7 linked regions of the Macaca mulatta genome follow. The protein of the gene in region 7 interacts with the protein of the main gene of each other region in a biochemical or structural test. Links are inferred from orthologs where the notes say so. Each region holds a gene or a part of one and is shown on either strand. Other genes may lie near its edges.

What was found.
Region 1: the proteins of TJP1 (region 7) and CLDN1 form a complex in vitro, tested with the Homo sapiens proteins (2 studies listed by BioGRID and IntAct, with this or other methods). The link is inferred for Macaca mulatta from reciprocal best matches to the Homo sapiens genes TJP1 and CLDN1.
Region 2: the proteins of TJP1 (region 7) and CLDN8 form a complex in vitro, tested with the Homo sapiens proteins (2 studies listed by BioGRID and IntAct, with this or other methods). The link is inferred for Macaca mulatta from reciprocal best matches to the Homo sapiens genes TJP1 and CLDN8.
Region 3: the proteins of TJP1 (region 7) and KIRREL1 form a complex in vitro, tested with the Homo sapiens proteins (3 studies listed by BioGRID and IntAct, with this or other methods). The link is inferred for Macaca mulatta from reciprocal best matches to the Homo sapiens genes TJP1 and KIRREL1.
Region 4: the proteins of TJP1 (region 7) and JAM2 form a complex in vitro, tested with the Homo sapiens proteins (2 studies listed by BioGRID and IntAct, with this or other methods). The link is inferred for Macaca mulatta from reciprocal best matches to the Homo sapiens genes TJP1 and JAM2.
Region 5: the proteins of TJP1 (region 7) and CLDN4 form a complex in vitro, tested with the Homo sapiens proteins (2 studies listed by BioGRID and IntAct, with this or other methods). The link is inferred for Macaca mulatta from reciprocal best matches to the Homo sapiens genes TJP1 and CLDN4.
Region 6: the proteins of TJP1 (region 7) and CGN form a complex in vitro, tested with the Homo sapiens proteins (2 studies listed by BioGRID and IntAct, with this or other methods). The link is inferred for Macaca mulatta from reciprocal best matches to the Homo sapiens genes TJP1 and CGN.

Annotation. Positions count from the first base shown.
Region 1 is NC_133407.1:8,337,581-8,342,282, reverse strand, and holds the start of CLDN1 (claudin-1), read right to left. Parts: upstream 2,889-4,702; 5' UTR 2,620-2,888; coding exon 2,397-2,619; intron 1-2,396.
Region 2 is NC_133408.1:17,283,267-17,287,943, forward strand, and holds CLDN8 (claudin-8), read left to right. Parts: upstream 1-1,936; 5' UTR 1,937-2,162; coding exon 2,163-2,840; 3' UTR 2,841-4,091; downstream 4,092-4,677.
Region 3 is NC_133406.1:108,862,676-108,866,774, forward strand, and holds part of KIRREL1 (kin of IRRE-like protein 1), read right to left. Parts: intron 3,604-4,099; coding exon 3,476-3,603; intron 2,797-3,475; coding exon 2,622-2,796; intron 2,533-2,621; coding exon 2,432-2,532; intron 891-2,431; coding exon 692-890; intron 1-691. UniProt on the Homo sapiens protein: Required for proper function of the glomerular filtration barrier. It is involved in the maintenance of a stable podocyte architecture with interdigitating foot processes connected by specialized cell-cell junctions, known as the slit diaphragm.
Region 4 is NC_133408.1:21,799,297-21,803,395, forward strand, and holds part of JAM2 (junctional adhesion molecule B), read right to left. Parts: intron 2,760-4,099; coding exon 2,660-2,759; intron 1-2,659. UniProt on the Homo sapiens protein: Junctional adhesion protein that mediates heterotypic cell-cell interactions with its cognate receptor JAM3 to regulate different cellular processes. Plays a role in homing and mobilization of hematopoietic stem and progenitor cells within the bone marrow.
Region 5 is NC_133408.1:51,328,902-51,332,946, reverse strand, and holds CLDN4 (claudin-4), read right to left. Parts: upstream 2,799-4,045; 5' UTR 2,459-2,798; coding exon 1,829-2,458; 3' UTR 979-1,828; downstream 1-978. UniProt on the Homo sapiens protein: Can associate with other claudins to regulate tight junction structural and functional strand dynamics.
Region 6 is NC_133406.1:115,557,292-115,561,390, forward strand, and holds part of CGN (cingulin), read right to left. Parts: intron 3,279-4,099; exon of another isoform or gene 2,786-3,278; intron 1,281-2,785; coding exon 1,153-1,280; intron 478-1,152; coding exon 345-477; intron 31-344; coding exon 1-30. UniProt on the Homo sapiens protein: Probably plays a role in the formation and regulation of the tight junction (TJ) paracellular permeability barrier.
Region 7 is NC_133412.1:8,697,141-8,701,239, reverse strand, and holds part of TJP1 (tight junction protein 1), read right to left. Parts: intron 2,773-4,099; coding exon 2,422-2,772; intron 2,081-2,421; coding exon 1,841-2,080; intron 1,196-1,840; coding exon 323-1,195; intron 180-322; coding exon 82-179; intron 1-81. UniProt on the Homo sapiens protein: TJP1, TJP2, and TJP3 are closely related scaffolding proteins that link tight junction (TJ) transmembrane proteins such as claudins, junctional adhesion molecules, and occludin to the actin cytoskeleton.

The sequences.
Region 1 (4,702 bases), on a different chromosome or scaffold from region 7:
AGTGCTAAAGCCTTGGCAAAGCCCTGCATCTGGGCTCGAAGACAAGTGTTCTCTACTGGGAAAGACAGCAAGGTACAATTTCAGGAAACCCACAGCTAAGCTTTTCACCTAAACACACTTAATGAAATGCAGCTTTTTTATGAGGGATACTGCTTAAATATACACACATAACCCTTTTCGTCTCCACATGTAACAAAACTATCCCAAAACCGGCCAATGAATCACCATCCCAGATCTCTACAGCTGGTGGGCGTAAACACCACTGCTCAGGCAGAGAAATGGAGTGAGGTTTCCTGGACTCCATCCAAAAGCATGCCGCGAGTCATGGCAGGTTCGAAGAGAAAACCTGCGAGTCCAGGGTCCCTCTTCTGAGAATGGGTTTTGAGAGAAAGGTGTAAGCCACACCTTGGATAAACTCTGGCTTTAAGTAAAACAAAAGTGGATTCTGATCTGGAGTTTAAAAAAAACAACTAAGAAGACACCTCTAAAGTGTATGTGGGGGAATAGCTATTTAGTCCTTTCACCGCAGTTTTAAAAACTGTGATAACTACATTAACCAAAAAATGAAAGCAAAACATTTTAACACATTATCGTGTGTAAGGGTGATCCCTTTGAGTTTTTACAACATGGATCAATCTGATTTCATGTGGTCATTTCAGGAAAGTTAAAAGAAAACCTATTTAAAGATGTTGAAAGGAACTATTTTGATCAGAGGAACAAAACTGACAGTGAGGCCTCTCTGGAATTGTCCTTAGAAACCTCCGTCTGCCAATTCCTTAACGTGCTACCTAAAATGCCTGACACCGTTTCCTTAAATATATCTATCTTTCCATGGAGAAATTCAATAATTATTACCTAATTTTTCACTTTATAAGCACAAATATAACCCATGAGGGCAATGAGCAACACATAATTACTAAACTTAGAGATTGGTTTTGGTGTAAAGAAGTCCTAACATGGGAACCTTCAGAAGCTGAAATCCTAACACTCAAAACGACCATGCACATTGACTGAGCCAATGCCACAGGTATTCAAGGTGTTTAAACAGATGTGGAACAGGTTTAATAGCTCTAAACTATATGGCTTTTGATATACACTATTAAAAGTTGTCCATTGATAGGAGGTAGACAAAACAAGTTAAGTAAACTTGAACAATGCCAACACTTTCCACCCTTAGCACACAATGGGGGCTAGTGGGCAGTCACGTTTATCTAGGCAAAGACTAAGGGACCTTTTCTTCAAGTGAGTTAAAGGGCATAACAGACACATGATATAAGACAAGTAATGTGATTTCTCTAGGAAGATACTCCAGCCATGAATCATTATTACCTAAGTAAACGGGAATTTAATGATTTTTCTGACAAGGCACTCAAAACCTTTAGTTAAAAAAAGTTAAAAATTATCCTATTATCCTTCTTCCCACCATCCTTAGAAATATGTCTCTCTATACAATCCTTTCCAACGTGACAAGGGGTCACTGAACATCCATTACACAGAAATTCCTTTGTGGAAGATGGAAACCTAAGGAAGACCCACCTCTTCTTTCTCTCTCACTGCCTTCCACTCCCAGCTGACCTCTGATTTCATCAGCTATGACTATTTTGCTGCATTTCCCTTGAGTGCCTTTACTTTTCCCTTTGTATTATGTTGGGCAGGTTATTTAGAACCTTTGTTGTCAGCCTTCCCCCACTTGCCACCAACCTTCTCTTTCCAAAATAGAACTACACCATCAGCCTCCACCGAAGACCTTGGGTGTAAAACTTCAAACTTTGGGGGAATCTCAAGCGGCTTCTCCAGAGTCTTGCAAGGGGCCTCCCTGCACTAACTAGATCTTACACATTAAAAGAATCATCCTCAAGTATGAGCAGAAGACACTTGGGACATTTCAAGTAGGAATGTAAATTTTACTATGCAAAATCATAGTAAAGGTTACAAAAATTATATCTCATACTTGAGGATTATTTATTTAAGCTTGCACACTTGAGAAGTTACCAGGCTCCAAACTTTTTAAGCCATCCCATTTTTCTTGTCTGAACCCTACCAATCCTCAATTTACCCCAGATCTCAGAATGCCTAGGAGAGGTCTCAGAGCTCAAGTTCAAGTTTAGCCTTCACTCCCTCAATCTCGACCCCCCGGCATAGGAATTTAGGATGAAGCCACACCTAGAGTGGCAGAAAAGTATCACCCAGGGAGTTTTAGGCAAAACTAGAGCTTATGCCTGGGCGTCCCTTTTCTCAGACCAGGATTCTCTTCATTTCCTTACGACAGAGCACATGATCAGAAGACTTGATCAACTGAAGACTGATAACCATGGAATCACAGGACAGAATGAGACGGTAAGGGAGCTGCAGGGGGACTGGGGCCTCTGGACGGCTGGGAGGTGGGGTGCACTCACTGCTCAGATTCAGCAAGGAGTCAAAGACTTTGCACTGGATCTGCCCGGTGCTCTGCGACACGCAGGACATCCACAGCCCCTCGTACATGGCCTGGGCGGTCACGATGTTGTCGCCGGCATAGGAGTAAATCCTCCACTGGGGCAGGGCAGTGCTGACGATGGCGCCGATCCATCCCAGGAAGGCGAGAATGAAGCCCAAAAGCTGCAGCCCCGCGTTGGCCATGACTCGCTCGGCCGCCCGCGCTGGCTCAGGGGTGGCAGGTGCAGAAGGCAGAGAGTTTGCAGGTGCGCAACGCGGGCTCCCGAAGGTGGCTGGGCCCCGCGGAGGAAGTTAAAGCGGGGAGCCCTGCTCGCTGCGCCGCCGCTGGAGAAGCTCTGGGTCCGGGCTGGGGTCCGGGGCCCGGGCGGCGCTGGAGTCTGGATACTAGAAGCTGCGGTTGCTCCCAGGCTCAGGAACTGAGACGCCAAACCGCTGGGCGCCGCGATTTAAAGCAGCTCCGCCCGCCTCGGCCCCGGCAGCCGGGGAGCGCCCCCTGGCGGTTTCAGGGCGGCTCACCGAGAGGGCGCCGGGAGCGCCGGGTTGGGGGAACACGCGGCTGGTGGCGTGGGGACCATCCCGCAGGACCAGGCACTACAGCTGCGTCCCTGCTCGTTTTCTCTGGTGGATCTTCCCGCTCCTGTCAGGCGTTTCGCGCTTTTCATTCATTCACTCCAATTATCCAAAAATTACTATGCACTGTACCTGTAAATCCAAAAAACAAAGATGAAAAAATGAGCCCTCAAGAGCTGCAGTTTTAGGTTTAATACCTTTTTCCTATTATTTTATTAAAAGGCATTTCCACCCAACTCCGCATCTCCTCCCCCATCACACACATTTCTCTCTCCTTTACTTGGCTTCCTCCCCCTTCTCCTTTCATCTCTCTGCTCCCTTCTGTCAAGGTCGTTCCATTACTTGTCTCTGCAAGAGAGAGATCTTTACACTCTACAAATTGGGAAACAGACCCAGAGAGGAACATGATTTACACACACACACACACACACACACACACACAGCATATCCAGTACTTGGCTCCCCTCCCAATCTGCTTTCCACTACATATCAAGTTGACCCAAAAATACCCCCTTTGATCTCTGATTGTCCTTTTTGATGTATTATTGTCCTTACGAAAATGCAGCCTAGCCCTCCCCCGCCAAACATCAACCTCCTGCCCACAGCAGTTATGTCTTAGGCAGCAATTCATTATCAGAGAGACCTGGTCGGTGCCCCGCTCTCCCTGAAAGATGTTAATTTTGTGAGTTATCACATGCTGTTCGTCACAGGTGAGGGCATGTAAACAGCGTTTCCCAGTGGAAGAAGGACTGGGCTGGAGTTGAGGAAGTCTGGGCTCTGGTTCCAGCTTTTGCTGTGACTGGCTATGTCACCCCTCCGGTTTCGGTCTCGCTGGGACTGTAGTTTCCCTCTATGCTTCTCTAAAGCTTCCTTCTTTGTAGTTAGTCAGAAGTGCTGCTGTGGTTAGGAATAATTGAAGTGTTTTCCCACTGCTTTTTGTGCGTGGTGCGAGTGTGGTGGGAGGGGAAGCTTCTATGGTTTTAGTAAAAACAGAAGCACCTTGGAAGCAGAAATAAACATATTAAGGAGAAAACAAGATATACTCTTATATACCATGGCAACTGCTAGTGGGTGACAGAGAAGGAAAGGTGCAAATGCTCAAGGAGGGAATGGGAGGAAAGGCCAAGCCCCACCACCTTCATTTCCACCTGGCTCTCCCTGGATGCCTTTCGTGTAGGCTTACCACTAAAGGACTTGGCTGTGCTAGGATTTGGGGACAAGCACTGAAGAATGTAAAACAGGAGTTAGATGAAGACATTTAATTTGGACTAAGATTAACACAGTGAATGCTGTCTTTCTCCTATCAGCTGTTTAGGGCAAGACCATGTCCCTGTTGTATCCCAGGGTTTGGGCCTGCAGTCAGTACTACTTTCTAGGTCTCGGTGGATGTTCTGTGGGTGCCTGTCAGTGTGAATGAAGATGTATCAATCACATTTGATTTTGTAAAAATTCCCTGATCAGAGAAGGCACTAGAATTTGCTGTAGGACTAGACCAGTACCATGTGAATCACATAATCTCATTTTCCTTTTTTTGTTCCAAACATTTAAGAATTAAAACTGTTATTAAACACCCAGGCACGGTGGCTCAGGCCAGGCGCAGTGGCTCACGCCTGTAATCCCAGCACTTTGGGAGGCTGAGGCAGGCGAATCACTTGAGATCAGGAGTTCGAGATCAGCCTGGCCAACATGGTGAACC
Region 2 (4,677 bases), on a different chromosome or scaffold from region 7:
TGGATAGTCAGCAATATTTAAACAGAGCTCCTAAGAAACACGCCACACAGAAATTCGAAAAGAAATTTCAATGAATCAATATATGCCTTGACATCCCTTAAAATGTGGCTTCGTTTAGTCATTATCTCAACCAGTTGTATTATTTCTTTTTCATTTTTCAGTTCTGTCAATGACTCCTTTTTCCCAGTCTGACAATTAAAGATTAAAAATATCTTCTGTTTAGATGTCATTTTTCCTTTTGTGGATTGCACAAAAGGAAAAATCTTCAAGCTTTACTTCATTTTCTTTTCTTCTTCACATCATAAAAATGATCTTTTCTTTGAAGTTTTACTTTCTCTCTGCTTCATCGGACTACCTTAAATCCAAATATGGGAGAAAATGTTTTCTGCTCACTTCTTAAATCTTATTTTCCCAAGATTAATCTAAGTCCCCCTCCACCACAAATCTGTAATGGATAAAAACTTGATGAAGAAAATGCCGCATATGTTCTACGTCAGCCTAAGGGACACCCTGAAATTTAGCACCTAGCAGGTCAAGAAGTGAGAAAATTTCTGTAAATATTAAGTTTTAACTTTTTATTACATTTATTATGTCTGTTTAACAAAATTATAACAACTCAGACTACTATGCATCCTACTTCTTTTTTAGAAGACGGTCTACTTTATCCTCCTTTTGCCCTTTCTACCATATAGTTTTTGTTTTAATAATATCCATAAATGACTCAGATTTTTTGAACCATGAAACTCACAAAGTTTAATTAGTGAGCAGAAAAGATTTTCTCCCATATTTGGATTTAAGGTAGTCCGATGAAGCAGAGAGAAAGTAAAACTGTAAAGAAAAGATCATTTTTTATGATGTTAAGAAGAAAAGAAAATAAAGTGCAGCTTAAAGTTAGGAAAGATCAGACAGAGAGCTCAAGGTGATCTCCAGAAGAAAATTGCTGGTGGAATTTTCTCAGATAAACATTTATGCTTAGTATAGCACCACTGTTAGATCATCATTATTTTGAGAAGAAAGTTCACATTGTCTTGCATTTAGGGATTTCTATGTCCTACTGCAGACATAATATTAAAAGGTTGGAAAACATATTTGGTTAATACCTAATATAATACAGTTTAGTAAATATAGTTCCCTTGTCCTGTAAATATTTTATTTTGAAATATTGGCCATTTGCATAGACCCAAGGGTCTTGAGACATCTTCAGAATTCTCGTTCCTTCAGCCCAGGAAGACAAAGCAGCAAGAATAGCACCACAAAATAAGCTCATAAGCTTGCTTAAATGCTATAGTCCTGGCTACATAAGATAATTATCTGGTGACTTTTATTTTGGCAATTTTTTTTTTTAATAAATGAAGATTATCAGAAAAGTGCCAATGAGTAATTTTTCTGCCTTAAAGAACCCCGATATGTTTTAAGTGCCAAGGAGAAGGACAGCCTTGTGTATTTAATTACTTTAGTTTGTTTTGTCCTCTGGCATGATCTGTTCCCTGATTTCACCAAAGTAGAGCTTGCTTTGAAGTTGTAGAAAAATTAAATCAATCACTTGGATCACATGTGTCCCAAAGAATGTGGTTTCTCAGGTAAAAGCAATCTTTCAATCCCCTGCTCTCGTTTCACTTTGGCATTTCAACAGCATTGCAAAATTCTTCGGCAGATATTTTATTTTATCCCTTGGTCCCAGCAGCTTTTACTAAGAGTTTCAGAATTGCCTGTACAAGGTGCACCTTTCACATTACAAGGGATTGGCTCATTTCTTGATGCTTATGCAACCATTTATAACTATGCCTACAGGTAAACATACTGCTGTCTTCTCGGAAGACCGAGAAGTATAAAGAATGTTTATGTGCAGGTCTAGCCGTTACAAGTACCCAAGTGTTGGTTTAGACACACCTGGGTTACCATCCACCTTTTATTGGCTGAGAAAGTTGCCACACCTGATTTGTAAGTTTACCTGTTGCAGCCAATAACAGGGCCATCTCAGCCAGCCAGCACTGGATACTATCTGGCCAGAAGTAGCAAAGCAGCTCTTATTTGAAAAGCCACTGGGTTCTGAGTTCATTACTACAGCAAAAACTGTTCTCTTCTGTGGCACAGAGAACCTTGCTTCAAAGCAGAACTAGCAGCTCGGGAGTCCAGCTGACTAAAACCCATCCCAGGGGATAATGGCAACCCATGCCTTAGAAATTGCTGGGCTGTTTCTTGGTGGTGTTGGAATGGTGGGCACAGTGGCTGTCACCGTCATGCCTCAGTGGAGAGTGTCGGCCTTCATTGAAAACAACATCGTGGTGTTTGAAAACTTCTGGGAAGGACTGTGGATGAATTGCGTGAGGCAGGCTAACATCAGGATGCAGTGCAAAATCTATGATTCCCTGTTGGCTCTTTCTCCGGACCTACAGGCAGCCAGAGGACTGATGTGTGCTGCTTCCGTAATGTCCTTCTTGGCTTTCATGATGGCCATCCTTGGCATGAAATGCACCAGGTGCACGGGGGACAATGAGAAGGTGAAGGCTCACATTCTGCTGACAGCTGGAATCATCTTCATCATCACGGGCATGGTGGTGCTCATCCCTGTGAGCTGGGTTGCCAATGCCATCATCAGAGATTTCTATAACCCGATAGTGAATGTTGCCCAAAAACGTGAGCTTGGAGAAGCCCTCTACTTAGGATGGACCACTGCACTCGTGCTCATTGTTGGAGGAGCCCTGTTCTGTTGTATTTTTTGTTGCAATGAAAAGAGCAGTAGCTACAGATACTCGATACCCTCCCATCGCACAACCCAAAGAAGTTATCACATGGAAAAGAAGTCACCGAGCGTCTACTCCAGATCTCAGTATGTGTAGTTGTGTATGTTTTTATAACTTTACTATAAAGCCATGCAAATGATTAAAATCTCTATTATTTTCTCAAAATGGACCCCAAAGAAACTTTGATTTACTGTTCTTAACTGCTTAATCTTAATTACAGGAACTGTGCATCAGCTATTTATGATTCTATAAGCTATTTCAGCAGAATGAGATATTAAACCCAATGCTTTTATTGTTCTAAAGTACAGTAATTTGTTTTCTAAGATGATTCAAGCGCCCACTATTTTTATCATTTACTTCAAAATGACATTGCTAAAGACTGCATTATTTTACCACTGTAATTTCTCCATGACATAGCATTATGTTCATAGATGAGTGTAACATTTATATCTTACATAGAGACATGCTTATATGGTTTTATTTGAAATGAAATGCCGATCCATTACACTGAATAAATAGAACTCAACTATTGCTTTTCAGGGAAATCATGGATAGGATTGAAGAAGGTTTCTATTAATTGTTTAAAAACAGCTTAGGGATTAATGTCCTCCATTTATAATGAAGGTTAAAATGAAGGCTTTAATCAGCATTGTAAAGGAAATTGAATGGCTTTCTGATATGCTGTTTTTTAGCCTAGGAGTTGGAAATCCTAACTTCTTTATCCTCTTCTCCCAGAGGCTTTTTTTTTTCTTGTATATTAAATTAACATTTTTAAAAAGCAGATATTTTGTCAAGAGGCTTTGCATTCAAACTGCTTTTCCAGGGCTACACTCAGAGGAAAGATAAAAGTGTGATCTAAGAAAAAGTGATGGTTTTAGAAAAGTGAAAATATTTTTTCTTATTATGTTTTTGTATTTGAAGAAGAATGATGCATTTTGACAAGAAATCATTTATGTATGGGTGTATTTTAATAAGTATTTGAGTACAGACTTTGAGGTTTCATCAATATAAATAAAAGAGCAGAAAAATATGTCTTGGTTTTCATTTACTTACCAAAAAAACAACAACAACAAAAAATAAAGTTGTCCTTTGAGAACTTCACCTGCTCCTATGCGGGTACCTAAGTCAAAATTGACATTTTTGTTCTGTGAAAAATAAATTTCCTTCTTGTACCATTTCTGTTTAGTTTTACTAAAATCTGTAAATACTGTATTTTTCTGTTTATTCCAAATTTGATGAAACTGACAATCCAGTTTGAAAGTTTGTGTCAATGTCTGTCTAGCTTAAATGAATGTGTTCTATTTGCTTTATACTTTTATATTAATAAATTGTACTTTTTTCTAATTATTTGACATTCTTTCACTAGTCTCCTTTTATTTCTGTTTTATTAACTTGTAGAAGAGTTTTGAAAAACCTGATATTTTTTATTCTCCAAATTGAGAAAGAATGTCAAGGTTGCCTTGTAAAGATTAAACAGAGCACTAATTTTTGAAAATATAAATTACTCTATGTTATTTAACAACAATATACCTTATAATCATTGGATTCCTATACCAATATTCAATGCAGATAACATATTTATAATTTAAGATAGTACTATAAATTCAAACAAATCTATATGTTATAAATATTATGTATATAACAGCCACATTTGAAAAATTTACTGTAGCTAAATATATATTTCTACTTCTGAGAAATAATAAATAACAGTTGCTAATGTTCTGGGGGCATGTATTACATGCTAGGACCTCTACTGCTTATATGAATTATATTATTAAATCTTTTATGAGACTGATAATATTATTAGTTCAATTCAAAGATGAGGCTATCTCGGAACAATTCATTGATTACCCAGTAGAATCAGGAGATTTAAAAAAAGAGCTGCCTGACCTCATAGCTCAATACTGTTTCTCTGAAGGAAACTGAAATTTTT
Region 3 (4,099 bases), on a different chromosome or scaffold from region 7:
TTTTTTTTTTTTTTTGAGACGGAGTCTCGCGCTGTCGCCCAGGCTGGAGTGCAGTGGCCGGATCTCAGCTCACTGCAAGCTCCGCCTCCCGGGTTTTTACGCCATTCTCCTGCCTCAGCCTCCCGAGTAGCCGGGACTACAGGCGCCCGCCACCTCGCCCAGCTAGTTTTTTGTATTTTTTAGTAGAGACGGGGTTTCACCGTGTTAGCCAGGATGGTCTCGAACTCCTGACCTCGTGATCCGCCCGTCTCGGCCTCCCAAAGTGCTGGGATTACAGGCTTGAACCACCGCGCCCGGCTACACTGAAAGTTTCTTGAGGTCAGGGACTGTGTCTTGTTCACGGCTCTTCCTGCAGACCCTGGGGCAGAGCCTGGCACACAGCAAATGCTCAATACACTTTAACAAAGTGAGGGAATTTCCCCAGTTGAGCATATGGAGGCCAGGTTCTGGTGGGAAGGCCCAAGAGAGTTCTTTCCTTGATGCACACTCTTATAATAGGCAGGAATCAGACGGGAGTAGCCCCAAACCCCTTCACTCCTTATCTCTCAGCCGGGACATCCCTCTGTGTGTCACCTCCCTCAGAGCAGAGCCCAAGGGAAGGGGAGCAGCTGAGCCCTGCCCCTGGAGAAAAGAGGGAGCAGAATCCTCAGGCTTCCCTGCACCCCAGCTGGCAGGCAGCACTGCCAGTCACCTCGCTCTTCCAGCTGGATGATGGCTGTGCCTGGCCCGAAGCTGTTCCAGGCGGTGCAGTTGTAGTGGGTCTGAAAGTCGGCCTCCATGACATTGTTGATGGTGAGCGTGGATAGCACCCCACTGCCTGAGTTGGTCCTCTCCACTGTATAGCGTTCCAGGGTCCCCACCTCCAAGAAGTTCTCCTTCCATGCCCACGCCTGCAGTGGAGAGGGCAGGAAGGAGGTAAGAAAGGGGCAGGTGGCAGAAGCCCATGCCCACGTGTCCCCTGATCCACCCTCAAGGCACCCTCACCCCTATGTGCCATGTGTGCCCCACGAGTCCAGCCTAACACCTCCCTGTAACAAACTTAAGTCACACCTGCTGCCTCACACCCTCGGCACTGACTCTCCACTCAAGGAGGAGCAGTGGCTCCCAAGCATGGCTGACATCAGATTTACCTAGGGAGATTCTTTCAAATGTAGATTTTTGGGACTTATGTCCTACATAGGAATCTCCAGGGAGGAAGAGAATCTCTGTTTTCATAATGATCACATGTGATGTGGATGCAGCTGATGCAATGAACCGACACTGGGAGCCCCAGATGTTGTAGAAAAAGTTCTGCATGGGTCCTCAACAACGCTGGGCTCCTCTGCCCATCGAGCTCCTGTGTGGCCTCCCCGTCCCTCTCTAGGCCTCATTTTCTTCATCTATACAATGACAGAACCAGGCTAGGGCCAGACAATGCTCAAGATTTCTTTCAGCTCTGATAGTCTGTGATTCTAACTAAGCGTAACTCAATCTTTAGGCATAACGTTAACCAACCCACACGACCTGCCTGACTGGCTCTGAGACTGATCCACAGACTTATAATAGGCAGAACCCACAACGGGGTATCCCTGGACCGTTCCGTCCCTGACCTCTCAGCTGGGCCATTCCCCTGCGTGGCCCCTTCCTCAGAGTGGAGCCTAAGGGGAGGGGAGCAGCCGAGAACTGGCTCCTTTCCAGGGATCAATCCTCCTAGATCTGCAAGGAAAGCCCCCCGGGAGCCCAGCCGCCTGCTGCCCGGGCAGCCGTGGTAATGAAGTGTCCCTGGGCAGCCCTGGAGTTAGCCAAATGGTCATTAAATGTGATGAGGGGTTTGACAGTTAATGGTCACGGAAGGAATTAATGGCTCATGGTGTGGGGGAGAGGAGAAAGGAGGGAGGAGAGTGGCAAGGCAAAGGGGCTGGTAGGAGGAAGGCAAGAGGAGGGAGAGAAGAGTGGGCCAGGCAGGCAGGAGAACTGATGGGATGGGAGGGAGAGGGCAGGAGCCAGAGGAGGAGGAGACAGGGAAGGGGAGGGAACAAGGAAAAGAGCAGGAGGTCAATGACAGGGCAGATGAGGGAGAAAAGAGGGGAAGTGTTAGCCCAGGGGAGAGAGCGGGGAACTAACATGAATTGAGTGCTGGCCTAGGCGTCTCATACCTGTTGCTGCCATGACTTCTCACAGCAACTCTATTAGGTAGGATTTACTGGCCCTGTTTTGTAGATGAATAAACTGAGGTTCAAAACATTAAGTGATCTGCTCAGGGACACATAACGAGTAAGGGAGGAGGTGGGATTTGAGCAGGTAAAGGGACAGAGGGACAGAAAGCAGAAGATTCGAAGATGGAAACGGGACAGGGAAGTTGAAGGAGCAAAACCAGCAGAGGTGAGAGGAGACTGGGCCTGGGCAAAGAAGCAGGGAGGGCTGGCTGTCCGCAGGCAGGCCCACCACTCACTATGCGGTCTGGGGGTGGTGTGCTCCCAATGAAACACTCCACCTTGCCACCGTCACCCCTCACAGCGTACTGCACCGCCTCACTGGAGATGATGGGGGGCCCTGCAAGCAAGAAGACACACATCAGAACCAGTTAAAAACCTCAGTGCCCGCCCACCCAGGCCCGGCTGCCTCTCAGGCCACTGACTCACCGTTCACATAGAGCGGCACCTCCCTCTCAGCCACTCCGATTCGAGGCACAATGGCCCGGCAGGTGTAGGTGCCAGCGTCTGCCTGAGTCACCGACTTCAGCAGCAGCTGGTTGCTGTTACTCAGGACCTGGGCAGAGAGAGCAGCCTCGGGTGGGGAGCCAGGAGGCCTGGGCCCCTAGGTCCATGAGGGCCCCACATCGGAGGCATTGGAAAGAAAGCAGGAAGGGCCACAAGTGAATTCCCAGAAAGGAAAAGGGATTCCCGAGTCCATTTTGGTCCATGCTCTGACTCTACACAGGTTGGCACGTAAATACCCCATCTCTGCAAGAGTGGGCAGGGATGGGGTGGAGGCCAGAGAGGGCGGGTGAAGGCTGCAATCATTTTAGGAGGATGCAGCCTCTTCTGATGATCTGTCATGTTTTCATTGCCAAATGAAGTAGGACGTTTTACTCTGAGATTCCTCTTCCTGCAGTTCTGGCCCAAATGGTCTAATGGGCATCTCTGCAGAGCTATAGACTCCAGCCTTCTCTAGCGAATCGCCTCAGCTTCCCCACCCCCCTGTGCAGCATTATTTACCAGACCTTTGCCACTGCAGCAGGCCCATCCCAGGCCCTCTCCCTTCCTCCCATCCCACCCTGCTTCCCATGCATAGCTGAGTTTGTCCCCCAAGTGCTTCTGAACTGGGCAGCAGTCCTGTGAGAAGAGGTGGGGATAACTGTAAGCACCTTCTCCTTCAAATCCCAAGACCCTAGAAATAGCCCAGGTTCAAAGATGATGCTGCAGCCCCCCATCTACTCCCATCTGTGGCCACACCCCTTCCTCCCAGCATTCAGAATAGGCAGTAAGAGTCTTACCATGTTTGAGTCCTTTTTGGTCCAGGTGAGAGTGAGGGGGGGATTCCCAACCCAGACACAGGTGAGGGTCACATCAGAGCCAATGTCTGTAGTTGTGGGTTTGGGGTCGACTACAATCCGGGGGGCGACTGTGAGGGAGAAAGAAGCCACTCGTTAGGGTCTCAAGCTCACGGGGTTAACTCCAATCAATCTTCTTCCTCCTGCCCTGCTACCTCCCCATTCATGGAGCCGTCCCCGACTCTGCCCCAGGCCCTCCAGGGCCCTGCTCTCTGTCCCCGTCCCTGCCCTCCCGCTCTCTGTCCCCGTCCCTGCCCTCCCGCTCTCTGTCCCCGTCCCTGCCCTCCCGCTCTCTGTCCCCGTCCCTGCCCTCCCGCTCTCTGTCCCCGTCCCTGCCCTCCCGCTCTCTGTCCCCGTCCCTGCCCTCCCGCTCTCTGTCCCTGTCCCTGCCCTCCTGCTCTCTGTCCCCGTCCCTGCCCTCCCGCTCTCTGTCCCCGTCCCTGCCCGCCTGCTCTCTGTCCCCGTCCCTGCCCTCCCGCTCTCTGTCCCTGTCCCTGCCCTCCCGCTCTCTGTCCCTGTCCCTGCCCTCCTGCTCTCTGTCCCCGTCCCTGCCCTCCCGCTCTCTGT
Region 4 (4,099 bases), on a different chromosome or scaffold from region 7:
ATTAATAATATAATTAATAAAAAATTATTAATAATAACATAAACCTTCCAAGCTTAACATTTCTGCAAACTGAGAATTTTATTACAAATACTCTCATTCAAGTCATTAATAACATGATGAACATGCATTTGTTTAGGAAAGAACTATGTAACAACAGTCTAGTAGACACCTCCCGTCATACAACACAATTTATTAACATTCTTTGAGCATGGGATTCAACTGCGTGTGGATCCACCAAAACATTGTTTGGACCATATTTCTCCATCTTGTCCATAAGGATTTTATGAGCCACACTCTTCTGCCATTTAGATACTTGCCATGTATTTATTAAAGGAGCAATTCTTCAAAGAGTTCCCATTTTAAAAAACAAGTTTTAATTAGCATATGATTAAATAACCTAGAGAAAATATTAGGTAGCATTTTCTCAAAAATAATTTAAATATTTTAAAGCAATGTACATTTTGGAAATGATCTTTTTAGAGATACTGTTTAAGTGAATCTGCTTATAAAAACTTCAGGTCTTGAAATTCTTTCCTAATGCCAATTGTGTTACTAATTTTCTTAAATACCTCCAAAATATTAATTGATTTTTTTTTTTAAAAAGAAAACTTGATAAATCTTTTGAAAGGTTAAGTAATTTGACCAGAGTAGAAAACATTAATTATTGCTTGGTAAAAACTCAGTTTGCTTGGGTATTGAGAGGTCAGTAAGATTCGGCTTTTTATTTACTTGGATTAAAAAGAGCAGATAGAGAAAAAATCTACAGTAATCATAATCTTAGGCAAAGTCAAATCAACAAGTGAAATTCCTGAGAACCAAAGTGTGCCTTCTGTTTACTTTGTAGTAGTCAATAAATTTGACATCTATGAAGCGTTCAAAGTAAGGGCTATTATCTGACCAAAAAAAACTGTCTTGTAGTTTATCAATGAATTTAACATCTATGAAGGAAGGATTAACACGAAAAATTGTCCTGTAAGTGCTAAGTCGTGGTATGAATTTTATGTTATTTTTCTTCAATGAAATGGGAGATAGAGGAGTAACAGATTAGGAGTAAGTTAACTTCTTACATCCTGTTCACCATTTTCTGTGATGTTGAGCAAGTCATACAGCCATATTATGCCTCAGTGTAGAGAAAATGTAACATTAAAGATGAAAATATTTTGTGATTTTTTTTTTTGGAAAAGTCTCTATAAAAGGAAAGTACCATTTTTCTGACTGAAAGAAAAGGAACTAAACTGCTGAAAGGCTGAGTGTGAGTAGAGCCTGCTGGAGTTTTACAGTGAGTCCGTAAAAAACAACCAACAAATCCTGCACTTTGAAAAAATGTCTTAGGAGAGTTAACATGTTCTAATTTTGGTTACATGTGAAAATAGTTATAATTCACAAAGAAAACCAAAAAAATGAATTTATGAATTTGTATGTATTTCAAAAGATGTAAGTCCCAACCAAGGACGCAAAACACCTCGGATCAATGGATGAGCATTAAACAAACTAATTTTAACTTCTAAGCTAACTTGTATTTAGAAAGAGTAGATATGTGAGAATCATGTCCAAATTAAAGTGGTCCTCATGGAGAAACAAACATTTAAATTTTATTCATTACGTATTTATTGTGTGCTAAGAAAAAGTAACTAATACATCAAAACCATGACTTCCCGGATATGATTCCTTAAGAGAAGGCAAAGGTAGACGTTTAAAGTAAACAGGACCATTTAAATGGAAGGAAAAATAAACAGAAATTGTGCTGGTAGTACAAGGTAATGGCAAAAACCATGAGGACAGGCCGGGCGCGGTGGCTCACACTTGTAATCCCAGCACTTTGGGAGACTGAGGTGGGTGGATCACCTGTGGTCAGGAGTTTGAGACCAGCCTGACCAACATGGTGAAACCCTGTCTCTACTAAAGATACCAAAATTAGCTGGGTGCGGTGGGTGCGCCTGTAATCCCAGCTATTTGGGAGGCTGAGGCAGGAGAATTGCTTGAACCTGGGAGGCAGAGGTTGCAGTGAGCCGAGATCACAACCCTGCACTCCAGCCTGGGCAAGGAGGACTCTTTCTCAAAAAAACAAAAACCAAAAACAACAACAACAAAAGAAAAACCCATGAGGACATATGTGAATAAATGAAACTAAGAAAACAATGCCTTAATTTTTAAACATGTTGTGATGAATTTTTTAAATGATTATTTCAAAGCAGCATTGAAAGGGATACTTTCTGATTACTTAAATAACTGCTATGTTGACTGTAAATGTCAACACCTGAATTAATTTGGTGGCTAATATCAATGATATGCATTCCTGAATTTTAAAAATATCAGAAATTCAAACTTCTAGACCTTCAACAATTTAGACTACAAGATACTTAGCTTTTAATCGAGAGAAAGATTACCCAGAAGAATGTATTTTAAAAACAATTATTTAAAAAACTAAAAACAGTGGTTAACTACAATACTAAGTATTTTTGGCTTATTTGGGAGATGGCTTAAAAACAGCATCCTTGCTTCTTTGCAACACATCATATCAAGTTAATTTTAATCATTCTCTCCTGTTTATCCTTCAAGTCACTCAGACATGTCCTGCTCCTTGCTCCTTCTACCCCCAAATGCTGGAATTCACAGTCTAATTGAAAACCATTTGTTCCTCCCAATATTTCATGCTTACCTACTTGCATTCGTTTCCCAGGACACCTGCGATATCCAACAGAATTGCGGGCTTCACAGGAATATTCTCCAGTATCCAGTTTGGAAACAGTATTAAATTGCTATTTGTGGATGCAAAAATATGTATTTTTAAGCCATAGATGTATAAGTAGACTTTTTAAATAACCCTGTTCCTCCAGTTTTAGCTTCAAGTTTGTCTTTCCTTTTTAAAAATTTGAGACTTTCTATCTTTACTATGAACTTAAAAATCTCCATGACTTCAAGGAGTTTAAGCTAGACTTTTGCTTAATTTGACAGAGAAGAACAAAGATAAAACACACACAGGGAAGTTCCTTTTTTTTTTTTTTTAACCATGAAAGTAGTACAGTTAGGAAGGCAGTGAGCATTTTTTAAAGTTCATAACACATGGTAGTATTAAGTAGTCTAGGTATTTCTAATTCCTAGGAAACATCATTTATAAATGAAGGGCAGGCCTCCCTGGTAAAAGGGTTAATGCACTTTCCTAAGTCACAAGCGAGTTCACTGCAGCAGCCAACAATAAATACTCCCTTTAAAGAGTCAGTTACTACCAGGAAGTAGCTTAGGGCCTAGGAAAATCTTAATTGGTATCGGTTTATAGGATTGTTGATTCTATCAATTCTAGAATTTTTTTAAATTTGAAAAGAAAAGCCAGCCCTTGCTCCTTCCCATCCCTGTCAAAGCAACCAAAAGCTAAGACTGATATAATATACTTCATTATTTTTATCAGTAGTTTTATCCCCTTGGAGAATATTTGGAAGGAATGAAGGCAGACAAAAAGGAAGAAGAGGAGAAAAGAAAGAAGAGAGGGAGGGAGGGAGGGAGAAAAGAAAGAAGAGAGGGAGGGAGGGAGGGAGAAAAGAAAGAAGAGAGGGAGGGAGGGAGGGAGGGAGAAAAGAAAGAAGAGAGGGAGGGAGGGAGAAAAGAAAGAAGAGAGGGAGGGAGGGAGAAAAGAAAGAAGAGAGGGAGGGAGGGAGGGAGGGAGAAAAGAAAGGAGAGAGGGAGGGAGGGAGGGAGAAAGGAAGGAAGAGAGGGAGGGAGGGAGGGAGAAAAGAAAGAAGAGAGGGAGGGAGGGAGAAAAGAAAGAAGAGAGGGAGGGAGAAAAGAAAGAAGAGAGGGAGGGAGGGAGAAAAGAAAGAAGAGAGGGAGGGAGGGAGGGAGGGAGAAAAGAAAGAAGAGAGGGAGGGAGGGAGGGAGAAAGGAAGGAAGAGAGGGAGGGAGAGAAAGAGGGAGAAAGGAAGGAAGAGAGGGAGGGAGAGAGAGAGAAAGGAAGGAAGAGAGGGAGGGAGGGAGAGAGAAAGGAAGGAAGAGGGAGGGAGAGAGAGAGGGAGAAAGGAAAGAAGAGAGGGAGGGAGAGACAGCAAGGAAGGAAGAGAGGGAGGGAGGGAGGGAGAAAGGAAGGAAGAGAGGGAGGGAGAGAGAG
Region 5 (4,045 bases), on a different chromosome or scaffold from region 7:
ATAATAATTTCTCCATCCAAGAGAGTGGGAAGACTTCATGGGGGAGGCGCCTGGGAGCTGGGCTTTCAGGACAAGCAGGATCCAGAAGGGTGGAGGAGGGAAAAGGGACATTCCAGGCTGGGAGCAGGGACCGGCTATGCAAAGGCTGGGAAGGGGAACCTGGGTGACTCAGCAAAGAGGAACAGACCAGCCTGGCTGCCCAGACAAAACTGGAGCAACAGCGGGGTGGGGGTGGCTGGTGGCCCATACCTCAGAGCTGGGAGCGTATGTGGGCACCTCCCTCCTAGGGTCCCCAACCCTTCACTGGGGTCCCAGGCATACACTGTTTCCTGTATACGGGTTTACCCTCCAACCAATGAAGGGCCCCCATCTGGACAAAGTGATACCTTGGGGGCCTATCTCATTTTTTTTTTTAGGTGATGGCTTGGGGATCCATTTCTTTTTTTTAAAACTTTGATACGTTGGAGGCCCATTTAATTTATTTTTTAAGGTGACACCTTGGAGGCCCGTTTCATTTTTTTTTGTTGTTAAGAGATAAGGTCTCGCCCCGTCACCCAGGCTGAAGTGCAGTGGTGCGATCAAAGCTCACTGCGGCCTCATAAACTCCTGGGCTCAAGCAATTCGCTTACCTCAACCTCCCCAAGTACAGGGATTACAGGCATGAGCCACCAGGCCCAGCTCATTTTTTAAACTTTTTGGAGAGATGGCGCCACGATGTTGGGCAGGCTGGTCTCAAACTCCTGCCTCGAGCGATCCTCCCACCTCGACCTAGTAAAGTGCTGGGATTACAGGTGCTCACCGCCACACCCAGCCCAGCTCCAGTTTTTCACAGTTCCCTGGATCTCGTCGTTTTTTTTTTTTTAAGTGTTCATGTACTGGCCAAAACACAGCGGCCTTGCCCCTCACCTACCCCCTGCCTAGGCCTCCAGCCCTGCCCCACCCACCTCCACAGCTGAAATCAGAGACAATACAAGTTCCTCCTGTGCACAGGTTCCATTTATTGTAGAAAATAATAATAATTACAGTGATGAATAGATCTTCTTAAATTACAAAACAGAAACCACGAAGAAGGAGGAGGAAGAACCCCAGGACTCCCGAGGGTGAAGCCGCCCCTCCTCCCTGCCACCCTCCCAGGCTGGTTAGTGTCCTTGGCAGGGGCAGAGGACTCAGGGGGATCAGTCTCCAGTGGCCCATGGCTGAAGTGGGTGAGGCAGAGTCCTGAGGCCACAGAGCTGGGCAGCCTGAGCGGCCTCTCTGGCCCCCTCCCCCACCACTGCCCAAACCTGTTTACAAAGCCTTCACCCCTCCCCTCCAAACCCGTCCATCCACTCTGCCCTCCTCAGGCAGGTGGGTGGGCAAGGCCTCAGCCATACTCCTGGGTGCGGGTTTCGGTGAGCAAGGCACAGTCCTAGAGGTGACATCAAGGCCTGCCCGGAACAGAGGAGATGCAGGCAGACAGAGTGGGGAAAATGTAAATGGGGACAGTGGCCAACACCGATGCAGGCAGAGCCCAAAGTCACGGTTGAGCCATCCTGGCCAGCAGAAGCCAGCTCCCCACTCCACTGCCACACCCTGTCACTTCTGTCCCTCCACAATATCCAGAGGAGGGTGGACTCTGTTCTTGCTAGCAGGAGGCGGCCTTGGGAAGGTGTCCGAATGGGCCAGAGAGGCTGAAGGCTGCTGCCTTCCTGCCTGGCTCAGTCTCTGCCCAGTCCCCAGTCCCCAGCAGCCAGGGGCCAGTGGCAGGGCCCTCCTGGGGTCACAGCCTGTGCTGAGCTCAGTCCAGGGAAGAACAAAGCAGAGAGGGACAGAGTGGAGCCGTGGCACCTTACACGTAGTTGCTGGCAGCAGCAGAGCGGGCGGCAGAATACTTGGCAGAGTAAGGCTTGTCTGTGCGGGGTGGGCAGTTGCAGCAAAGCAGCCCCCCGCCAAGCAGCAGCAGGCCGGAGGCAGCCCAGCCGACGTAGAGCGAGGCACCCATCTCCCGCTTCTGCCCGGAGGCCACCAGCGGGTTGTAGAAGTCTTGGATGATGTTGTGGGCCGTCCAGGACACGGGCACTATCACCAGCAGGCCGGCCAACAGGAACACCACACCCGCCACGATCATGGTCTTGGCCTTGGCACTCTCATCCTCCAGGCAGTTTGTACACTTGCCCCCCACCACGGACAGCAGCACGCCCAGAGCGGCCACGATGATGCTGATGATGACGAGGGCGCGGGCCGCCTGCAGGTCCTGCGGCAGCGCCAGCAGCGAGTCGTACACCTTGCACTGCATCTGGCCGGTGCTCTGCACCACGCAGTTCATCCACAGGCCCTCCCAGATGGTCTGCGAGGTGACGATGTTGCTGCCGATGAAGGCCGTCACGCGCCACATGGGCAGCGCGCAGCACAGCATGACGGCCAGCCAGCCCAGGACGGCCAGCGCGATGCCCGTCACCTGTAGCCCCATGGAGGCCATCGCTCAGCGTCCGCGGAGGTTGAGGACCTGGAAGGCTGAGGGGATCCGGCTGAGGAGGCCGTAGGATTCCAAGCGCTGGGGACGGACTTAACGTTCACAGAGAGCTCCTTTGCGCTGTGAGTCAGGAGAAAAAGCCAGTCCTGATGCACAAGCCAGCGAGTGTGAGCAGACCAGTTCCTTCCAGCCGACAGCTGCCAGGGCACTCTCTCTCTCAGGACAGGTTGAGCAGTTATATGGCTCTGGCAGAGGGGCGGGGGCAGAGGGAGGGGTTTTCATCACTGGGACCTCCTCCTGACCAGTTTCTCTGGATTCCTGAGCCCAGGCCAACAAAGGCACTTTTGAGGCCCCTGCCCCTGGTCCCTGAGTCACTATCCAGTCTCAGAAGAAACTACCCTCTCCCCTTCCTCAAAGCCCATGCTGAGGTCACCCGGGAGACAGACACTGAATCACAGCCCAGGGACAGCTGGATATTCACAGGGCAAGGCCAGGGGGCAGCCAGACCAGCCAGGTTTGGGAGCCTGAAGACCAGGGTCCCCACAAGCCAGGGTCCCCTCATTCTAGATTTAGGTGGGAGGACAGGGTGGAGACCCTCAGGGAGAGAGTTTGAGGATGCAGTCTTGGAAACATCCACGAGAAACCGCACCTTGATTACTGTCCTTTCTTGTCCTTATCAGTTTCATCACTGGCAGTTTCACTGCTATTGTGATTATGATCATTCATGCATCTGGCCTCACCAGCAGCCTCTGCGGCACTGGCTGGATAAAGTTACGTGTAGGGGAGTGAGGAGCCGGGAAGCCGGGACTCCTGGGTACATCACCCACTCTCACCCATCTCTATCACCGGCTTCTCTGTTTGGCTAGAAGAGGGGCCTTGGATATGATGCACCTTTAGCCAAAAAGAGACAGAAGCCTGCCCCTCTCCACCTCCACAGAAGTTTAGTCTGGTGGGCTCTGTTCCTGCCAGGGGCCACCCTGCTTGCCCAGAACTGGGTGGGGCTGGTCACCAACGACGACAAACATTAACTAGATCCTGGAGACATCATCACCCCAGTAAATGGGTGTTTACCCTGTGGAGACATACAAAGCCTTCCAATAAAGCCAGGGTGGGTGCAAAGTCCCATGAGATTTCAAAGGGAAGGGGAACTCTTCCGGGGTGGGGAGGTGTGGTGCTGGGGGAGCTTGACTGCAAAGGGGTGCTGGGTGGCACAACTCCTGGGGGCACTGGATTCTTGGATTATGCCACAGAAGGCATCATGAACGGGTCCCCCAGAAAAGTTTTGCAAGGCAACGGGACTGGCTGAAGGAGGACATTCTGGTAGACGGTGGGCCAGGCTGAACAAACGCAGCTCGTTCTGGGAACACAGCCCTTAGGAGAGATGTGCAAGGCAGCGAGACTGGTGAAGGAGGACATTCGGGCAGAGAGAACAAGGGCAGAGGTGGCAAGGTGGGGAAGGGCAGCTTGTTCTGGGAACAGCCAGGAATCCAGTTTGACTAGAGACTGGGCTGGGGAGGGAGGTTCCAGAGTAAAAGAGTCAGAAATTTCTGCCCGGAATGTCACCGAGCCCTGGGAGATGGAGGGAGGGAGGAG
Region 6 (4,099 bases), on a different chromosome or scaffold from region 7:
TTCCAGAAGTTCCCGGGTCTCTAACAGGTCCTGGAGAAAGTAAAGGAAAAGTACAGGTGTGACCACATTATAATCCATCTACTTATCAATTCACTGAGTCAAAAAATATTTATTGTGTTAGGCACAGTACCAGGTGCTCTAGTACCGGTACTAGAGCCCAGAATGATAGGTTTCCTTTATCCTAACTCTAGTCCCAACCCACCACTGAATCTGCCTGAAAGCACACTGAGTACCTGTAATCAGCCAACCACTCCTCATACTTTGGGGAAACCATGGATGAGCAGACTTGAGGATGCTCCAGCTGAGAAAAAGCAGATGCTGGGGCATATGACCCCAGACCCTACCTTCAGTAACACCTCCTTAGCAGGCTCAGGACCCTGGACCTGTTTCAGCTTGTTCTGCAGCTCCATCACCTGGGCCTCCAGCCCATGTCGTAAACCTTCACCCTGGTCCAAGAGGCGCTTCATGTTCTGGAGCCTAATAATAGATAACATTATTGCACACTATGTGTCAGGCAGTTTTCTAAACACATCATATATTTTAATTCATATTTATTAATGCATTTAAACTTCCTGCCTTCAAATCTCGATGAGGCCTCCCCTGATTTTTGCAACCTGCCCCCCTACAACCTGACCCTCCTGACCTGCCTTACCCTGTTGTATCTACTGCCTTCTCATGTGTTACAAATTTACTTGCATAATATGTTTGTTTACTGTCTGTTCCCTCTCAGTAGAAACTAAGCTTCTGGAGAGCGAGCCCTTCATCTGTAGGGTTCACTGATGTGCCTTAGGAACCTAGATTAATGCCTGTCACAGCATTCTTGATGAAACATCTGCTGAATGGATGACTGAATCCTTACAGTGATCCTGTGAGGTAGGTACTATTATTAACTCTATTTTATAGTTTAAGAATCTGAGACAGAGGCAAACCCAGGTAGCTTAACTCAAAATCATGCACTACCACCATTATTGATAAAGAAGGTAGAGAGAAAGGCCCTATCCTGTCCTTAAACCAACACTGCTCCTTTCAGCTTCCGGAGATTTCCTTCTGTCTCCTTCAACCCTAGGGGCAAAGAGGGAGTGGCCTCTAAACCTGGCCTACGACCCCAAGCAGCCCCCCAGCAGCCCAAAGTGCGCCATCAGCTGCACTCACTCCTTGTTGCTCTGCTGGGCCTCCCCCTTCCTTCTTTCCAGCAGCTCCTGCAGTCGGCTGCACTCTTCTGTTTTCTCCTCCAGCTGCCGCTCCAGCCCAACTCGTGATGGCTCTAGCTTCTGCCGCCTCTGAAAAAGGGAATGAGAGTACAGCAGATGGAGGGTAGGGAAAGCCTCTCAGACTCAGAATAATGGGAATGTATGTCTAACACTCATTAGACACTTGCTGTACGATAGACACTGTACTTAGGACCTTATGTGTATTATCCACATTTAATCCTCATAACTAGCCTTGGTACTTATGATGATGTAAAATATGTCCACAAATTATCTGACATTTCTTTCAAAAGATACAGCCAGCTGGGTGCGGTGGCTCACGACTATAATCCCAACACTTTGGGAGGCCTAGGCTGGTCAATCACCTGAGGTTGGGAGTTTGAGATCAGCCTGACCAACATGGAGAAACCCCGTGTCTACTAAAAATACAAAATTAGCCGGGCGAGGTGGCACATGCCTGTAATCCCAGCTACTCCGGAGGCTGAGGCAGGAGAATTGCTTGAACCTAGAAGGTCAAAGTTGCAGTGAGCCGAGATCACACCATTGCACTCCAGCCTGGGCAACAAGAGCAAAACTCCATCTCAAAAAAAACAAAACAAACAAAACAAAACAAAAAAAGATAAAGCCTAATTCTGTTTGCCTCAAGCACGGGCTTGACTTAGGGGCTTCCTTCTAACAAACGGTAAAAGGAGGACGTGATGAGTAAATTCTGAGGTTAGGTCATAAAAAGGCATTGCAGCTTTTCTCTTGGATCCCTCACTCTGGGAAAAAGTAGCTGTTATATTATGAGGATACTCAAAAGCAGCTCTAGGAGGAAGGCCAAACAGCCAGGAACTGAGGTCAACAACCAACAGCCATTTGATTAAGCCAGGTTTTTCTGTTTTGTTTTGTTTTGTTTTTGGTGTTCTGTTTTGTTTTGTTTTTGGTGTTCTGTTTTGTTTTGTTTTGAGACGGAGTTTCGCTCTTGTTGCCCAGACTGGAGTGCAATGGCGAGATCTTGGCTCACCGCAACCTCCACCTCCTGGGTTCAAGTGATTCTCGTGCCTCAGCCTCCTAAGTAGCTGGGATTACAGACATGCGCCACCTTACCTGGCTAATTTTTGTATTATTAGAGTAGAGACAGGATTTCTCCATGTTGGTCAGGCTGGTCTCAGACTCCTGACCTCAGGTAACCCATCCACCTCGGCCTCCCAAAGTGCTGGCATTACAAGCATGAGTCACAGCGCCCAGCCTGTTTTTTTGTTTGTTTGTTTGTTTTTGAGATGGAGTCTCACTCCATTGCCCAAACTGGAGCGCAGCGGCACAATCTCAGCTCACTGCAACCTCTGCCTCCCAGGTTCAAACAATTCTCCCTGCCTCAGGCTCCCAAGTAGCAGAGATTATAGATGCCTGCCACCACGCCTGACTAATTTTTGTATTTTCAGTAGAGACAGGGCTTCACCATGTTGGCCAGGTTGGTCTTGAACTCCTGACCTCAGGTGATCCACCCACCTCGGCCTCCCAAAGGGTTGGGATTACGGGCGTGAGCCACTGCACCCAGCCAATTAAGCTGGTTTTGTTTGTTTCATTCATTTATATTTTTTTGAGACAGGGTCTTGCTCTGGCACCCAGGCTGGAGTGCAGCAGTGCAATCCTAGCTTAGTGCAGTGTTAACCTCCTGGGCTCGAGCAATCCTCCCACTTCAGCCTCCCAAGTAGCTGGAACTACACGTGCATGCCATCACATTTGGTTAATTTTTTTTATTTTTTGTAGAGGCAGGGTCTCACTATGTTGCCCAGGCTTGTCTCAAACTCCTGGGCTCAAGTGGTCCTCCCAACTTGCCCCTCCAAAGTGCTGGGATTATTGGCGTAAGCCAACATGCCTGGCCCTGAGTAAGCCGTTTTAGAAGCAGATCCTCCAATTTACTTCTTTTGGCCACAGCCAGAAGCTGGACTGGAACCTTATAACAGACTCAGAGCCACAATTACTCTGTTAAGCTGATCCCAGGTTCTTGGTCCTCAGACACTGGGAAATGCTTTTTTTTTTTTTTTTTTTTTGAGACGGAGTTTCGCTCTTGTTGCTCAGGCTGGAGTGCAATGGCGCCATCTCGACTCACCACAACCTCTGCCTCCCGGGTTCAAGCAATTCTCCTGCCTCAGCCTCCCAAATAGCTGGGATTACAGGCATGTGCCACCACGCCGGGCTAATTTTGTATTTTTAGTAGAGACAGGGTTTCTCCATGCTGGTCAGGCTGGTCTCAAATTCCCAATCTCAGGTGAACTGCCTGCCTCGGCCTCCCAGAGGATTACATGTGTAAGCCACCGTGCCCAGCCAGAAAATGTTTGTTTTAAGCTGCTGAGTTTTGGGTAATTTGTTACACAGCAATAGTTAATTAATATAGTACTATCATAATCCCCACTTTACAATTTAGGAAACAGAGGCTTAGAACATTTAAAGAACTTGCCCAAGGTTAGTTACACAACCAAAAAGTAACAGGACCAGGATATGAACCCAGTTAGTTTGGCTCCACAGCTAACCACTTAATCATTACACTACAGGGCTTTCCAAGAGACAAGGGAAGTTACAATCCAGCATTTATTGAGCACCAACTACACACAAACCAGTATTTTGAAAGGCAGAAGACATGTTTTTAAAAAGGGTACACTGGCTTTAGAATAAGACTGACCTGGATTTTTTCATTCCTCTCTGCAACTTACTACCATAGGCAACTTACTTAGCCTCTCTGATCTTCAGTTTTCTCATCAGAAAAGGGTCCAGAATAGGTATTCATAGGGTAACTATAATGATTACAGTACCCAGGACAGTACATACTACCAAAATTATACTCAATAAATGATAGCTACTACCACTGCCATTATGATGATGAAAAAAAAAAATTGAGGCACAGAGAA
Region 7 (4,099 bases):
ACAGTAAAAGGTTTTCTCATTGACTAAGAGGGATAAATTCCTGGTCAGTTCTATGCCACAAAGAGCACAAAGTGCACTCACCTGTATAGAGTTTTGTCATGTTCACTGAATTGATTCTGAGAAGTGGGTTTGGGACCAATGATGGGAGCACCTGAAGGTTTAGATGCTACTTCTGGAGGCTGTTTAGGAGAAAAAAAAAAAAGACAAATATGCCTAAGGAACAGATAATTACAGAATAGATATCATGTAATGGGGGAGGGGAGAGCTAAGAAGCCTTTTAAACCATGTGCCTATGCATCCAAGGCAGGAAAGACATATTTACCTTAAAAGTGGCAGTGTCATTTACATCCTTCTTGGTCTCTAAGGATGCAGATCTTTTGTTTTCAAACATCTTAACTCTGGTGAGTACAGACTGTGGCTTCATTGCTGGATCTTCCTCTTCTTCGGTTTGAGTTGGGGGTGGAGGCAGTGGTTTGGTATTTGAAGGCAGAGCTTCTGGCTTATGCTGAGATGAAGGTATCAGCGGAGGGACAGCTGCAGCACCATGGAGAGGCTCAAAATGACCTGCTCTAGAGGTAAATCCTTGGGGTGGGACTTGCTCGTAACTGCGTGAATATTGCTCAAAATACTGCTTGGGCTCTGCGGGCTTGGGCCCTGCTGAAGGGTAGGGCTGGGTTTCCGGCCTGTGTCTACCATGCGTGTCATACCCAGGAGCTGGCTGCTCTTCGTGCCGCAGGGCAGACGCTCTAGGTGCCTGTTCGTAACGTGGTCTGCTGTCATAGGACAGAGGGGCTGGCTCTTCAAAACGTGGAAAGTACCCGCGTTCTGAAGACTCTTCGGGATGCTGTCTGGAGTCAAGGTCTCGAGAGTGCTGATTATCAAAAGGTGGCCGAGATGGGTAGGGCTGTTTGTCATCATAATATGACCACTGTTCTTCATACATGGGGACGCGATCTTCGTATCGCAGACGATGTTCATAGTTTCGAGAAAACTGGTCCGTATAGCTTGAGGACTCGTATCTGTACGTGGGCTGCTCAAGGTCTCTGCTGGCTTGTTTCTCTACGTATGGGAGTTGGGGTTCATAGGTCAGATTAGGCTCTTTGTCTGGCCTGTGCCCTGGGTGACCAACGGCTGGCTGTTTCAAAACATGGTTTTGTCTCATCATTTCCTCGGGATATGGATCCTTTCTGTACACCTGTATAAAAAATTCACATTTAAGGACAAAGTCTTGTTTTTAATTTTAGTCTATTTTATTAGACTATGATTAAATATTAAACTATGATTTAATATGTGAAAATGGTACGTTTTACCATTTATTATCAGGATAGACAAGATTAGTGGAAAATGCTGGTTTAAGTGAAAGCTCAAAATTTATAATGCAGGTAGGGGCTTTTATGTTTCAGCATGTACTAAACAGTGAGTTAAGATAAATATTAAATTTAGTAGAAAATTAATGCACCAAACTGTTGATTACACTTCATTTTGACACTGAAAAATCCTAAAGAAAATTTATGGGCATCATAATCTGTGTTAACATAAATATGTTTATGATGGGTTTCAATTACGTATTAAGGAATTCTGGAAGATACTGAAAGCCAAAAATAAAAATAATAAACAATAAGCACAAATCTCAATTAAAAGGCCTGTTTTCAAATAATCAGTATACCAATGGAAGCCATGCAAACTACAAAACTGAAATGATTTGTATTGATTTGAAAGCATTACAGTGTACAAGCCCGCAGTAAAAAAGCAAAAGAAACACTTAAAGGGCAAAGCAAAAATGATCATGTGCCAGATTGATGGAGAGCAACAAATGAGTGCAACACCGCAGCACAGGTACCTTTGTTGGATCTACATGCGACGACAATGATGGTTCTTGATCTCTTAGCATTATGTGAGCTGCCTCAGTACTTGGTGTTCTTAAAGAATCAGCTTGTGGTGAGTAAGTGGTGGAAGGAGCTGGGGTGGGCTCCTCCAGTCTGACATTAGTTAAATTTACATTATGATTAACAGCAGAGGTTGATGATGCTGGGTTTGTTTCAGGCGAAAGGTAAGGGACTGGAGATGAAGCTTCTGCTTTCTGTGAAGTGTTTAAAATATTTTAAATATAGTGTTTCTGTTTACTGCTAACTTCCCACTTCAATTTATAGTGATTGGTAGACATACATTTTAAGTGTGCTGAATAATAAAACTATGACCTCATGTCCTAAACTTTCCAGAAAAAAAAAAAAATCCAGTACATTGCTGTGTTAAGACAAACACACAAAATTTAGAATTAAGTCCTTGGTACTCTCAAATTGAAATTGAAGATTAATTCTTAATCTGGAGAAAGGACAACATATATATTTTTAACTCAATCACCACATTCTAAAATTTAATAATGCACCTCTATCTACAAAACGTTGAATGTTTGCTGCTTACCTGTTGAGAGGCTGGCTTAAATCCAGGGGAGTCTATTCTATGAATTGGTTGTGGCTGCGCTTGTGGTGAGTAAGGAGGATATGTTTGGTTTTCATGATGCATTCCAGAGGAGTCCTCTCTTACAGGCTCAGAGGACCGTGTAATGGCAGACTCCGGTGGAGTCCCAACCTCATCATTAAGAGTTTCATCTAGTTCTTGATCAGTGTAGGCCCCGCCTTCTGTGTCTGTGTCTTCATAGTCAGAAGTGTGTCTACTGTCCGTGCTATACATTGAGTATTCACTACCTGGAGCTGACAGGTAGGACAGACGATCATCATGCAAATCAAGGTCATCACTTGTAGCACCATCCGCCTGGGTCAAATAAAAGTAAATTACAAATTTTATTCAGTAGTTCTTTAAGAGATGGCCTTTATCGTATAAGGGAGATTGAAAAGGATATCTTTCTCTGGAGAAGTCACATCTACTTCTTGAAACTTCTGGTAAGGAAAAGTCAAGAAGATTGCACAAGCACACATACAGACACACAGAGCACCCCTTGAGATCTGAAGGGCATGGATGAAGGAAACAGTGGCTGGTAAGCCAGGACAAAGTCAGACTCCAGGGCCCAGCCCTGGAAGACGACGAAGAAACCCTGACACTGCTCAGATTTATAAAACCTACTGACTAGCTCTTCAGCCCTTTTAAGCAAGGAGAAGAGGGAGAATTACCAAACTAAGCTCACAGAAACAAGGACACACTGACAGAACAGCACATGGGAGAATACCTATGAAACAAACCCAACAGTTCAAAAGTTGAACAAGAGCTAATATATTTATGTTTAGGAAACAACTGATATGGTTTGCATTCGTGTTCCCACCCAAATCTCATGTTGAATTGTAATCCCCAGTGTTGAGGGAAGGGCCTGGTGGGAGGTGACTGGATCATGGGGGTGGTTTCTAATGGTTTAGCATCATCTCCCTCACACTGTCTTGTGGTAGAATTCTCCCAAGATGTTTTTTTAAGTGGGCAGCACCTCCCCCACTCTCTTCCTCCTGCTCCAGTCATGTAAGATGTGCTTCCTTCCCCTTCCACCATGACTGCAAGTTGCCTGAGGCCTCCCCAGAAGCAGGAGCCTGTACAGCCCGCAGAACTGTGAGCCAATTAAACCTTTTCTTTATAAATGACCCAGTCTCAGGTGGTTCTTTATCGCAGTGTGAGAATGGACTAATACAGTAAATTGGTACCAGAGAAGTAGGACATTGCCAAGAAGATATCTGAAAATGTGGAAGCAGCTTTGGAACTGGGTAATGGGCAAAGGCTGAGACAGTTTGGAGGGCTCAAAAGAAGACAGAAAAATGAGGGAAAGTTTGGAATTTCCTAGAGACTTGTAGAAATGTTTTGACCAAAATGCTGATAGTGATATGGACAATAAAGTTCAGGCTGTAGAAGTCTCAGAGAAGAACTTCTTACTGGGAACCGGAGTAAAGGTCATTAATTTTTGCTATGCTTTAGCAAAGAGACTGGTGGCACTGTGCCCCTGCTCTAGTGATCTGTGGAACTTTGAACTTGAGACAGATGATTTAGGGTATCTGGTGGAAGAAATTTCTAAACAGCAAAGCATTCAAGAAGCGACCTGGCTGCTTCTAACAGCATGTGTTCATATATGTGCACAAAGAGATTATCTGAAACTAGAACTCAT